2 linked regions of the Drosophila melanogaster genome follow. The protein of the gene in region 1 purifies or fractionates together with the protein of each later gene. This does not show direct contact. Each region holds a gene or a part of one and is shown in the gene's direction. Other genes may lie near its edges.

Region 1 (7,735 bases):
ACGAATGGTTGCTCCTCCGCACACTTGATGGCATCCCGAAAAGGCTTCGACTCCCGGATCTCCAAGCCCACAGGTGACTCATTTCCAGCTGCATCGAAGAGTATACCTTCCTGTTCAAAGGCGTGGTTCATCTCGTGGCCCAGGACTGCGCCCAGAAGACTGTGCTGGAAGATGGTGTGCTCTCGGTGATCGAACAAGGGCCACTGCAAAAATTCCATGGGAACAGTAATGGTGTTCCTTTCGTTCTCATAGAAGGGAGAAGTGCGAGCCTTCCTTACGTTATCGTTGACATAATAGTGCCGCAGATCCACTCGAGAATTCCTTGCAAGCAGTCCAGCATTCTGGAGACGGGTACGTAGGGCAAATGCTTCAAGGAGATTGGCCAGGAAGTTTGTCGCGGAAAAGTTCGCACTTCCATAGTGGTTATTATAGAACTCAGGAGATTTCTCCTCAGGCAAATTTCCTATTTTGATCTGAATACCTTCCAACTTTGCTCTTACATAGGCCAACTGGTTTGGCGTAAGCTGCAGGCGATTGGCATCTAAATATTGGCCAAAAGCTGCCTTTAAAGTGGATAAAATCTCCAGTACCTTACTGGTATCCTCCTCCCGGTTTTGGTATATAAATCGATCATAGATGTAGTTCATGCCCAGGGGTAAATAGGCACGCATATGGTGAATGCAGCTTCTTGGATTCCGCTCCCTTGGCTCCGACTCCTCCACTAAAACATATTGGCGTGCTCGAATGTACGTGTCCTTCGGCTCACTGGCGAAATCCCGTAGACAGCGAAAACATTCCCGCAAATACTCAACATCACTCACCTCGAAAGTCAGGTGATAAAGCTCCTCGGTGTGGTTCACGCCCAATAACTCAATAAAAAAGGAATGCGGAATAGGGATTTCCTGCCTTAATTCACTGAAACTCCATGTATATACAACAGGATATTCTGCACGATACTTATCCTGCAGCTGATGCATTTTCTCCACCAGTTTAACCACTCCCATCGAGTACCACGCTTCTTCGTAAAGGCGCATGAGCTGCAAGACACGGCGGTCACTATATCTATCAGCCGGGTCAGGCATCCTTAACTGAATAACCCAACGCATGGAATCATTGGCGGCCACATCAACTCGCTCATCAATGAATACACCATTCAAGCCGTATACGAGAAATTTTTTAGGATGCAAAATCCACTGATTGACCAGTTCTTCGGGACGAGGATTCCCGTGAAGCTTTCGCGTATCCTCCTTGCAGGCCTTGTAGTATTGTCGCATTTGCTTTATCAGTCGGGGTGCCAGTGTATCGTTTTCACCCAAGTGGCTCTCCATGAATTCCACCATGGCAGTGGCGAACTGATCCTCGACTCGCTCAAAGTTGTCCACATATTTAGAGGCACTGGAGAAGCGACCGCAGGCAAAATTCCAGAAATTCGTGCACGGTGATGTTGTTCTATTGAGATTATTGTGAATATCGTTCGACGTTGCCACGTTGATGTCCACTATTGCCTGGATGGGAATGAATAATGCCACCAGGCAAGAGCACAGTAAAAGTAAACATCCCATTAAGCTCGCTCGATTCACAATGAAACAACAGATTATCGCAACGCTCTGCTGAGCTCGGCCACCTTCGAACTACCTATAGAGCTTTGGGGCTGATAGTGACAGCTTGGTCAATACTAGAATTCACATTTGAAATGTAGAGCAATTACCTCTAATGAAATGTGCCTGCCACCTATATAAACCCGCTTGGTGAGTACATTAAACCGATCTTAACGTTTATTGAATCTTAATTACACCGCTGTTGTAGTTCAATCTTCAATCGTTCGCTAAGACAGTTCGCAATATAAAATTGGTAATCGCGTCGGGACTACCCCAACTATATGTCACACGCTTATAGTCTACTTAACAAAACTGGATCTAAGGTGTTCACTTCTTGAACTTTTGCTTCTTTCCCGCATTCGCACCCGCCGTGGACTTTTTCAGCTGGCCGATCTGTTTGGATTTTTGCTTCAGCTTGTTCTGCTTCTTGATGGGTTTTCCCTCGAGAATGGGCACATCGTCGATATCCACTCGCGGCGCCTTGGCCAGTTTGGCGTTTCCCTTGGGCGACTGTTTTCCTTTCGGCTGTGGCTTCGTTTTCGTTTCCTTAATTGCTGATTTGCTAGGGGAGTTTGTGCCATTGGTTGTTGGCTTATTGTCATCTGGTTTAGCTGGTGATCCGGCTCCATTTTCCTTGGGTTGCGATCCTTTGTTCTTTTTATTGAATGATTTCGCATCTGAATTGGAAACAGTGGTTTTCCCATTGGTTTGTTTTTGTTTAGGTGCAGACTTGGAAGGTGACTCGCTTGAATTTGTTTGCTTGTCCGGTGCCTGGGATTTCTCATTTTTCTTCTCTGCTGGCTTTTCTGGCTTTGGCTTTTTGACAGGCTGCTCAAACACCTTGGCCACATACTTGGTCTTGCTCTCTTCCCGCTTCTTTTTCTTCAGTTCCTGTTCGATTTCGGTGAAACTGGGTTTTCCGGCGCGCTTTCCAAGCAGTTTTCGGGGACCCTTCTCCTTTGACGCTACCTCCTCCTCCACCTCCTCAGACTCCGCAGCCGCTTCTGTAGTGGCGTCCGCTTCGATGGCCTCATCCAGCTGCTTTTCATCCTCCTCCTGCTGCTCCTTAGTTATGGGTATGGTGTTGGAGAATTTCTTGAGCTTGGCCACGTAGAACCCGTCCATGTTGTGGGTGTGCGGATAGTAGCGCTTGGTAAGGTTTAAGCTAGGATGGAACCGATGCTGACGGAATTTGGTAAAGCCCTCCACGCCGAAGTCCAGACCAGTGGGCACAAGTTTGACATTTCGCTTCTTCAGTGCATAGTCGATGACCCATTCGTTCTCCTCGGGCAACACCGAACAAGTTGAGTATACAATGTAGCCGCCAGTTGATGACTTCGCATCCGTACAATCTATGGCAGTCAGCAGAAGCTTCCTCTGCAGGTTGTAGCACCTTTGTACATCTACTTCCGACTTGGTGGTCTTCACACTGGGATCCTTAGAGACGACGCCAGTTCCAGTGCACGGAGCATCCAGCAGGACACGGTCAAAGCCAGTCATAATATTCCGGAACTTAGTGCCATCCTCGCAGCTGACCACTGCATTTACAATTCCCAGGCGATGGAAATTGGCAACAATGGCCTTGATGCGATCCCTGTTAGAATCGTTGGCGAAGAGCACACCAGTGTTCTTCATGATGCTTGCGATGTGGGATCCCTTTCCACCTGGGGCGGAGCACATGTCCAGGATGCGTTCGTTCTCTTGCGGGGCGAGTGCCATTACAGGCAACAGCGAAGAGGCGCCCTGGATCATGTAGTGGCCAGCCAGATACTCTGGAGTTGCACCCAGTGGCACCTGTGAGTTAAAGACAACCAATCCAACTTTCGTCCATTTACCAAGGGGATCCAAGTTGACGCCACGATTGATCAGAGCTCCGGCCAAATCCCTACGACGTGTTTTTAGAGTATTGGTGCGTATGGTTAGGGGACGAGCAATCTAAAGGGGTTAATTTTTAATGATTAATCTTGTAACTATATTTTTTATGAAATATACTAACCTCTGAGGCCTCCAGATATTCCATTAGCTCTGTCAGCGGCAACATATCCATCAGCTTCTCCATCAAAAATTCGTTGTAGCTGTAATACAAACACAGATCCCTGCGCAGCAAATCGATGTACTCCCCGCGAGACCTATCCGCTTGACGATACCTTTTGAAGTCGGAAAGAACCAGACTGACGTCCTTTATGCGCTGTTGCACTTCCTGCAGGGTTAGGTCCTTCTCGGTTTCTTCGCCTTCGACGGGTAGCTGGAAAACATCCTGCTTGTCAACGGTTTCCAACATTTCGTCGTCGGCCAGTTGGGCTTCCTCTGCCTCGCGCTTTTTCAACTTCTTGTTAGCCCGCTCGATGGGCAGCTTGTCATCATCATCATCATCATCATCATCGTCGTCGTCCTCATCCTCCTCTTCATCACTGTCTGCCTGAGCACCATCTTCCTCGCCAGATATGTCAAAGTCATCGTCGGAGTTGGCATCATCATCGTCGGATAGATCGGCCAGCTTGCCAACCTGAGCGGTATCATCATCAGATTCCAATCCTTCCTCATCGTCTCCCTCCTCTTCCTCTTCACATTCTTCTCCCAACTCATCTTCGGAGTCCTCCTCCGACTCCTCATCCTCCTCCTCCTCCTCCTCGGACTCCGTTTCTGGCTGCTTCTGTTGCTTCTTGGGCTTCAGCCAGGCATCATTATCATCTGTAAAACCCTTGGGAGCTGTAGCTTTCTGGCCCTTCGGAGCCGGCACCAGTTGAGGCACCTCCTCATCGGAGGATGCAACCTGTGGTTCCTCTTCATTATCCTCAGGATCGCTGTCGCTGTTGTAGGCCGTCTTCCGCTTAGCCGGTTGTGGTAACTTTCCCTTGGCCCTCTTCTCCTGTAGTTTGGCCTTCTGGACTACTTTCTTTTGCTCTCGCTTAACGAACCTCTGCTTCTGTCGGTGGGAAAGCTTCTTGTCCTCCTCTTCCATGGGAGCTGTGAAGTAAAACATTTGAATTGAACACCCATTGAATAGGGTAATATTCAGGAGCTCTCACCAAACGATTGTTTGCGAAAAACAGGCGGTCCTTGCTTGCGCGCCTTGCGCCCAGGTCCCTTTTTCGGTTTCTCACTGTATTCAGCCTTCCGACCCATATTTTTAACTTAGTTTATCCAGTTTCTTGGAGCAGAACTTAAAAAAAAACGTGAGCACTTCGATTTTGCTCCACGTGCGCCGCTCAAAAGACAGCGAGTGTTTTCCAGCACTGGTCAGAGGGAATTGCTTGAGCCAGTGCTGTCAACTTTTCAGCTTTTAACTAGCTATGAACAATGTTTTTTTTTCAACATATATTAATAACTAATAAAATTATATATTACTTTAAATTTTATTTTGTCGGACTTTGCTTGATTCTTACACAGTTTATTTATACAGATTACGTTAGTATATATATTTGGAAAACACGTGGAACTTTTTAATTAAGATATTTTAGCTACTTGCTCTCCCAGCTGTTTAGCAGCAAACGTATTTCTCAGCACTATAAAAACGAGTTGGTAAACTAATTGGTAAATCCAAAAATATCATAAATAAAAAAAATCTGGAATATATCTAATTAACAGAATTCTTGCTTATAAGTAAGTATTATATCCATTCAATAATTAGATATGATCTTTAGTTGTAATTTAAAATGAAAAATTAATTTAAATAACCGTTATAGTTGCTGCCAACTTGATGCGAATAGTAGTTTGTTGACAACCCTGCCATATTTGATTGTGTTGGTGAATGGCTGGTTCAAACGACTGCGCCTTTTTGCGAAAAATTTAATTAGTTGCAAATCATGGCATACCAGGAGAAAATAACAGAATTTAAGAACTGGGCCACTAATCTTGGCTGCCCGCCCACTGCCCTGCCCACCGATGATGCACTCCGAAGGTAAGTTACAGCTGTGTTAGGCAAATCGGCAACTATCCGTACTTAAAACCCGCTTTTTGCTTCACAGAATTTTTAAGTCCGGCTCCAGTTTACTTTTGAACCAGCTGCAATCCCGCATCCAGCCGGTGGATTACGTGCGGGAGGTGCGCGAGAACCTGCTGATTGCCCAAGTGGCTCGCTACAAGGACAAAATGGTGCCGCTGGCCTCTAGGAGTTTCCAGCCACCGGAGCTCCAGAGGTACCAAAAAATACAGGAGCTAAAGAAGCACAAGGAGAAGGCGAACCAACAGCTTACGGAGGCCCGAAAAGAGTACCAAAAGCTATCTGCCGGCATCAAGACCAAGAGTGGGTATAAAGTGAACATACTGATAACCTTGACGTCAATTTAATGCGGTGAATCCCATACAGACATTCAAACCATCAGTGCTGAGAACCGGAAGCAACTACTTGAATCCAAATGCAATATCCTTGACCTGAAGCTGGAGTCGCTGAATAAGAACTACGACCAGGAGTTGAAGAACAAGATCCAAATCTTGGGCACCACGCCCGTGAAGCTGAGTGCTAGAAATGCCAGCGAGGCGCAGGCAACAAGGGCTGTGGAGCAGGCTCTCAAGCAGCTGGAGACCTTCTATGGAATGTGTGACGATGGCAATGCGGTGAACAATTTAGCCGAGGCCAAGCAGCGATTATGGGATCAGATGCGGAGCACCTTTGCGGATATTCCCAACTCCCTGCTTCTGAACGTGGTAATGAAGATCAAAGAGGAGCAGCTGCAGCACATCATGAAGCTGAATGAATCCAGAGGCGAATGCACAAATGATAAGCCACCGCTGAATAACTATGAGGTCAAGTTACTAAAGACCAAGGCCGATATGCTGGGTCTGGCGGCCAAATATTTCGCGGCCCAAAAGGAGCTGGAACTGAAGGAGGAACGCTTTTGCCAAGACTACAGCGTCTTTGTGGACAAACTGCAATCAAAGGTATACAGATTTAATGGCATAAGTTTGGGCGACGAGGAAAATGCGGATGAACTGATTAGCGACTATCTGGTGCAGTACAACATGCGCAATTTTAATCGCTCCCAAAACGAATTCCTTCGTGAGCAGATTGAGCAACTGCGTCTGGAGCTAGATGCGGGCGCCAAGCAGCTGGAGAATCACGATCTAAAGCTAGGCTCTGTGAAACAAGTATACGGCGACATTAACTCCAGCATCAATCGCATCCAGCAAGATATGGTGCAGCTGTCACAGATCAAGGAGAAGATCCTGTTTTCGCGAAATATGATGAAGAACCTGCTGGACGATATGCAAGCGGCCACACAGAAACAAAACGCCAAGTCCCAGCTGATGAGCACTAAGCTAAAAGTCAGCAATATGTCCATGTTGGGTGCGGAGAGTTTTTGCCTGGCCAATGATAGTGTGTTCTCCAGCACCAAGGTGGAGTTCGATGGCAACTGCAGCGCAATAAACTCAACGATGCGTCGCAGTTTTGACAACAAAACGCTAGTGCCGGGCGGAGCAGCATCTACCACACTGATGGCTGCATCCGGAGCCACGCTACCATCGCATTTGCTGGAATTCAATACATTTTTGGAAATACCGCTGGAAAAATTTAGCTGTACGCCGCGCGCCTGGTGAGAGCATACTTTAGCTGAATGTGCTATTTCCAATTAATCCAGAGTTCATGTTTTTTCCGACAGCTCCTTCCTGTTGTCGGCCAATCCACTCATCGTCGAGGCCCAGGAGTTGGCCTCCACCGTTCAACTGGCACCAGGCTATTTGCTAACACCCTTCGGCGCTCTGCAGGAAGTCCGAAAACGCATTTTGTGGGCGTCAGCAATTGCCGCACACACGTCTGAGTTGAAATTGAATTTGCAGCCGTTAATTGGTAAGCTCGATTCCGACATTTTGTCTCATATCCGTCTGATAGAAAACGTATCACCCTGCTCCCCAGTTGATCCGCACGATTTGAGACTGAAGGCGAGTCGTCAGCACGAGGAAATTGACCAATTGCTGGACAACCTGATGGCCATTGGGGTGAAGACTCAGTTGCAGCTGGAAAAGGCCGAGCGCATCTATCAGTTCCTGCTTGAGAATCCATTGCGACGCTACGTTCCACCCAGTAAACGATACAACAATGGCAGTTTCGCGGACTACGAGTCCGAATTCAATCTCTACTATCGCATGACCACCAATGGAAGTTCGATGCGAGCGCCACCTAATTAAGTACGTTATTT
Region 2 (4,887 bases), on another chromosome or scaffold:
AAGACCTTTTTTTATAAATATATTTTAGAACCTATTGCCCCATGGCTTTCCTCTGATTGCCCAGGAACGCGACCGAAAGAAACAATAACCATCAACTGATATCAAACGCACATTACGATATATATGTACAAACTCAAACTGAAGGGTAAGAAAGCACACTTCGTTTGCCTTTGGAAGCAGAGAAGGAGGATATACGTGCCGAGTGGGGAGATACGGGGAAATAATTTTAGAGTGTAATTTGGGATAGATTGCTTATGTGACTAGAAGTCGTGGCTGCCACACTTGTGTTGTCGGTTGGGAAATTGGTTATTGCTTAGAAAATTTGGTTAGTTACCGGCCGCTTCAATGGCCGGCATTTGTTAATGGTAAATCGGTAACCGATCGCAGTTTGTTAGCTGATACCCATATGGAGTTACTCATGCCGCAGCTTACCTCATCGAAGAACACTTGGGTTTTGCGCAAAATATGCTTCAGCTCGGTCAGCTCCAGAAAGTTGCGCTTCAGGGCCTCGGCGTTCTGATTCACCTCCCTCAGCTCGTTCTCCAGCTTCTCAAAGGTGGCCTGAGCAGCAGACAAGAAAGCCATATAAGTTCAACAGTGTTTAGCAGAAAACAGGGAGTATGGCGGCGTATACCTCCAGGTCGATCATCTCGCGGGGCTGCGGGGCCTCGGGACTCTCCCCGGTGTCCAACATGGGGATGCCGTCCTTCTTGATCTCCTTCTCCAGGTAACGCAGCTTGCGCTCCATCTCATCGCAGCGGCGCACCTCGTTGACGAACTTCCTCTGGAAAGCGTTGACATCGGGATTGAGCTGCGGATTTCAAAAGATTGGTTTGTTATTGGGGGATCTCAAAGATACTTCATTTGTGCGATCAAGATATAGCACTTATGCCACTATATTTTTCAATTTTATTTAAATGAGGTAACACACGTAGTTATACTATACACTTAGTAGCTGGTGTCACCAGCTTTGCATTTACTTTGCATTCGCGTTAAAGGGGACGTTTCATGGAATACCGAATTCGCTAATGAGGTAAGGGGTATGATTGTGGTTTATGGTTAGTCAGTGCGGCTGCCTCGACCGCAGCTTTATGTAACCCATCCTACTCACATCTCGGAACTGGACCAATCCCAGTTCTCCCAACTCGGAGACGCAGGCGTAGGCCGCCTCGCTCTGCAGGAACAGCTGGCACAGCGCCATTTCCTCGCTGCGGAATAGGGAACCCATTGTGGCAGCCGGATTCCCGATATCTGCGAATGGAGAACAGACACTAAATCAGAATGCATATGTACATATATAGTACACAATGGGCCCATTCAATTGCATGATTCATGGCCAAACTGGGTTTCTTCCTAAGTTTTGCGGCCGTGTCGCATACATATTTTCATGCTGATTTGGTTATCGTTTCGGTGGGCGGACGTTCGCTTGTCCCCCAGATTATTTGTCTGTAATCTATACTATATATGCGCCGAGATTCGATTTCTATACCCCATGCGTATATTGATTTTTCTCCGCCGCGGACAAAAAGAAAGTGCTACGTTGGACCCGGATGCCAAGGTTTTCGGCTCGTTGGGGGTCAGCCAGTGACTGGGCTCGAGCTTTATCCGAAAACTATTTAGTTTGTCAGGGGGTCACTTCGAAATGAACGTCGATTAGTTAATTACCAAGTGCTTAAAAATTAAATATAAATTCGTCCACAAACTCCAGCAACCGACAAATTTCCGAACTATGAATCTAGTGTGACCGTGGCAGGTCATTGGATTTATACCAATCGAGTAACTAGGGAAATAAATTTGTACTTAAAAACAAATATCTGGGAAATATTATAAAAAACATTTAAAAAACACAAATGCTATTCGCAGTTACTATTCCTAGGGAAAATAAATAGATTTATCCCTTTTATATAACATTTTTCGTCAATATAAACAGGCAGTGGGAACGTCTTCATTCAGTTGAATTCAACCACTTGGTAACACTGGGCAGCAACAAAAACAAAGAACTTCAAACTAAACCGCCATATTTTACTTAATTTCTGTGCTAAAATATGGATCGGACCATAATTGCACCGTGGAAGGCCGAAGAGAAGGAGCAGAGCGAGAAGCTCCACAGGAAGCTGCAGGGACTGGCCCTGGTGCACCCCCTGCCGGACGAGCTGCGTAAGCTGATTGCCTGGGACATGTTCCTCAAGCCCAACCAGGTGGCCTTCGTGCATGTGATGCACTACCTCTTCCGTCTGCTGGATCCCGCGGAGTTCAAACGCCGCTTCTTCTGGCCCATCACCGACAAGAAGTCGGAGGCGAACTTTCGCTCCAGCACGGTGGAGTATCTGAAGCATCTGAACGAGAAGCACCAGCTGCATTGGGCCAACATCAAGTCGTATCTGGTGGTGATGCCCGGAGGCATGAGGTTCATCAACTTCCTGCTCGAGTTCGTGGGCTTCGTGATCCAGGAGCTCATCAAGCAGCGCGAGAAGTCACTTGGCTTAGAGGCGGGAACACCAAACGTGAGCGCCAAGGTCATGGCCCGCCAAAATGCCGTGATGAAGGAGTACGCTTCTTCGTATGTGGTCAATCTGGAGGAGAATACGGCCCTGTTGCGGGACAAGACCCAGAAGATCAGACGCCTGATGGCCGATCTGTCTGCAGACATGGGAGTGCCCGAGGAGCAACTGGCGGACGATGGCTTTCTGGATGAGTTCGAGGCCACCGCTGCACTCGGCGTGGAGCGGGTCATTACCCAACCCACCGAAAGGAAATTCGACCTGGAGGCATCTCTGTGCGGTCTCAAGGAGGCCATCGATCTTTTCCAGGTGAAGCAAGCCGAGAACAACCAGAGCAAGGAGGCGGTGGAGAAGGCACTTCGGGGCATGCGAGTGCTGTTCGACTGTGATGCAGTCACAGAAGGAGGTGAGACATCTTTGGTTGCATCCTTGCAGGTCTTTAAATTTAAATGGTTTTTCAATTCCTTCGCAGATTTCTACGATCCTTTGGGCGCATCAAAAATGGATGCGCTCTTAAACGGCTTTAATCGGATCAGCGGCACAATTGCCGAGCAACTGGATGCTAATGACCACTACAACGAATCGAATGCGTTTGTCACCACCGATTTGCAGGCTCTTCGAGTGGAACTTTCACAGTCCGAAGTCCAATTGAACAATTTACTCAAGAAACTAAACGAACCGTCCAAAAAGGACAAGGGAAGTGCCAATGCAAGTGGCTCCGCCAGGGTACAGACGCTTCAGCCGGCCACGCCTCGCTTCGAATCGGTTATCAGCTCCAAATTTGTTTCCACGCCTCCCATCAGAATCGACATGGGCGGCGGTGGCGGTCGCAATGCCCCAGTGCGTCTTGCACTGCAAGATGACTTCAATGGCAAACAGTTTGATGCCTTAAGCAACAGCTTACTCGGTAAGGAGTGAACTAAACCGTTCGCTTAGTGACCCTCATCCTTATGAGTTTTCCTTTTCAGCACCTGCGCCGCCTCGATCAGCACGCAAGCTGAAAGCCCTTGATCAATCGACCGGCATTGACCTTAATGGCACTTTAAACCGATCCAAGATCAACGATCCCATGCAAATGCTGCGCACCATTCACAAAAACACCTCCAAGGTCAAGGCAGCTCCGCAGGCGAATCTCTCCTCCCTGGGCAGCAAGTGGAAGCAAATGCAAGCGTCATTCGGTTTCGATGAGGCGCCGGTGCCAGGAGCAGCAGTGATCTCACCTCAGACCTCACCAACGGATCCCAGCGATCCCTTTACACCCTTGAGTGGTAGCGAGTGCACCCGAATTGAGCGCATTCCGCGCACTTCGGAAAACAACACTTCACTGATCGCCAAGAGCGCTGCGGTTATAAAGGTCCTGGAGGTATCACGGAATGTGCTTAATCTTAGCACCTCGCCATCTGGACGCCTAGATGCACTGGTTCCACATACCGAGAGCCACCAGCAAGATGTCGCGCCACGTCTTCAGCTCAACGACAGAACAATCAATGTAAGTGGGATCAACAATAATACGTGCCTACGAAATATACGAATCTCAAGTTCCTTTTTTTTACAGGACTCACTGCAGCTTGATCCCGATTTCAACATTGAAAACGATAAGAATGCATTCAATGTCTCGCATAAATTCGATTTTGATCAGATTGGTGGTGAGGATGACCTGCAGAACATCAGCGATAGCGTGCTCAAGGATATTATCTTTTAGTCCACGGGAATCGCGAATGGCCAATATTGTTTAGGTAATAGATTTTGTATTCTTTTTCTAATTGGTTATGAGGTTTTTAAACGAAATATACTTTTTACTTTAGTTTTTAATATTACCCATATGAAATTAAAACTAAAATCTTTCAGCTTGAAAGCAATTTTCTTCTTTTAAATACATCTATAAGTATACCAGGCTTTTCGAAATTCGAGTTTCAGGACTTAAGATTATTATTGAAATAAACAACCTTTGAGGCAGTATTAAGGTTTATTATATATATACTTTTAAAAGTCATATCTTATAGCTATTGTTCTTCATTGCGGCTTCAGCGATCTGTTACATCCTTGCAAAATCAGACTTTCTGAAATGAGTGGGTTGAGCGTTCTAGATGAATGAACGGCAAAAGTATGAAACAAATTGTATAAAAATAAAAAAAAATGAGTGAATATAATGATGGAGAAATAAAATAAGAACAAAACTGAAAAGTGTGTCTTCAATGAATTCATTTTTATTAAATTCGAAAATTATAATAATTATCGTTAACTTAAACTTCATGAATGTGAGATATGTACTTTTGTGTCTCTGTATACATGTTATTGTATGGTATTACTTTTGGTCTTTATGGTCCGCGCCTATCACATGTCTAGCCGCACAAAAAACTTTACATATGGATACGGATACTGGCGT

Evidence for each region.
Region 2: the proteins of dgt5 (region 1) and dgt6 purify together in Drosophila melanogaster (affinity purification with western blotting; 2 studies listed by BioGRID, with this or other methods). This does not show direct contact.

Annotation. Positions count from the first base shown.
Region 1 is NT_033778.4:12,465,742-12,473,476, reverse strand, and holds the start of dgt5 (dim gamma-tubulin 5), read left to right. Parts: upstream 1-1,701; 5' UTR 1,702-1,748; intron 1,749-1,754; exon of another isoform or gene 1,755-1,925; coding exon of another isoform or gene 1,926-3,533; intron 3,534-3,594; coding exon of another isoform or gene 3,595-4,565; intron 4,566-4,627; coding exon of another isoform or gene 4,628-4,724; exon of another isoform or gene 4,725-4,826; intron 4,827-5,284; 5' UTR 5,285-5,404; coding exon 5,405-5,499; intron 5,500-5,566; coding exon 5,567-5,844; intron 5,845-5,907; coding exon 5,908-7,132; intron 7,133-7,198; coding exon 7,199-7,386; intron 7,387-7,452; coding exon 7,453-7,724; 3' UTR 7,725-7,735. Other genes in the region: Nepl10 (Neprilysin-like 10), read right to left, coding at 1-1,562; CG8545 (uncharacterized protein), read right to left, coding at 1,926-3,533, 3,595-4,565, 4,628-4,724. UniProt on the Drosophila melanogaster protein: As part of the augmin complex, plays a role in centrosome-independent generation of spindle microtubules. The complex is required for mitotic spindle assembly through its involvement in localizing gamma-tubulin to spindle microtubules.
Region 2 is NT_033777.3:29,128,050-29,132,936, reverse strand, and holds dgt6 (dim gamma-tubulin 6), read left to right. Parts: upstream 1-1,964; 5' UTR 1,965-2,045; coding exon 2,046-2,907; intron 2,908-2,973; coding exon 2,974-3,408; intron 3,409-3,469; coding exon 3,470-3,990; intron 3,991-4,056; coding exon 4,057-4,203; 3' UTR 4,204-4,353; downstream 4,354-4,887. Other genes in the region: Vha100-1 (vacuolar H[+] ATPase 100kD subunit 1), read right to left, coding at 433-561, 635-811, 1,112-1,228.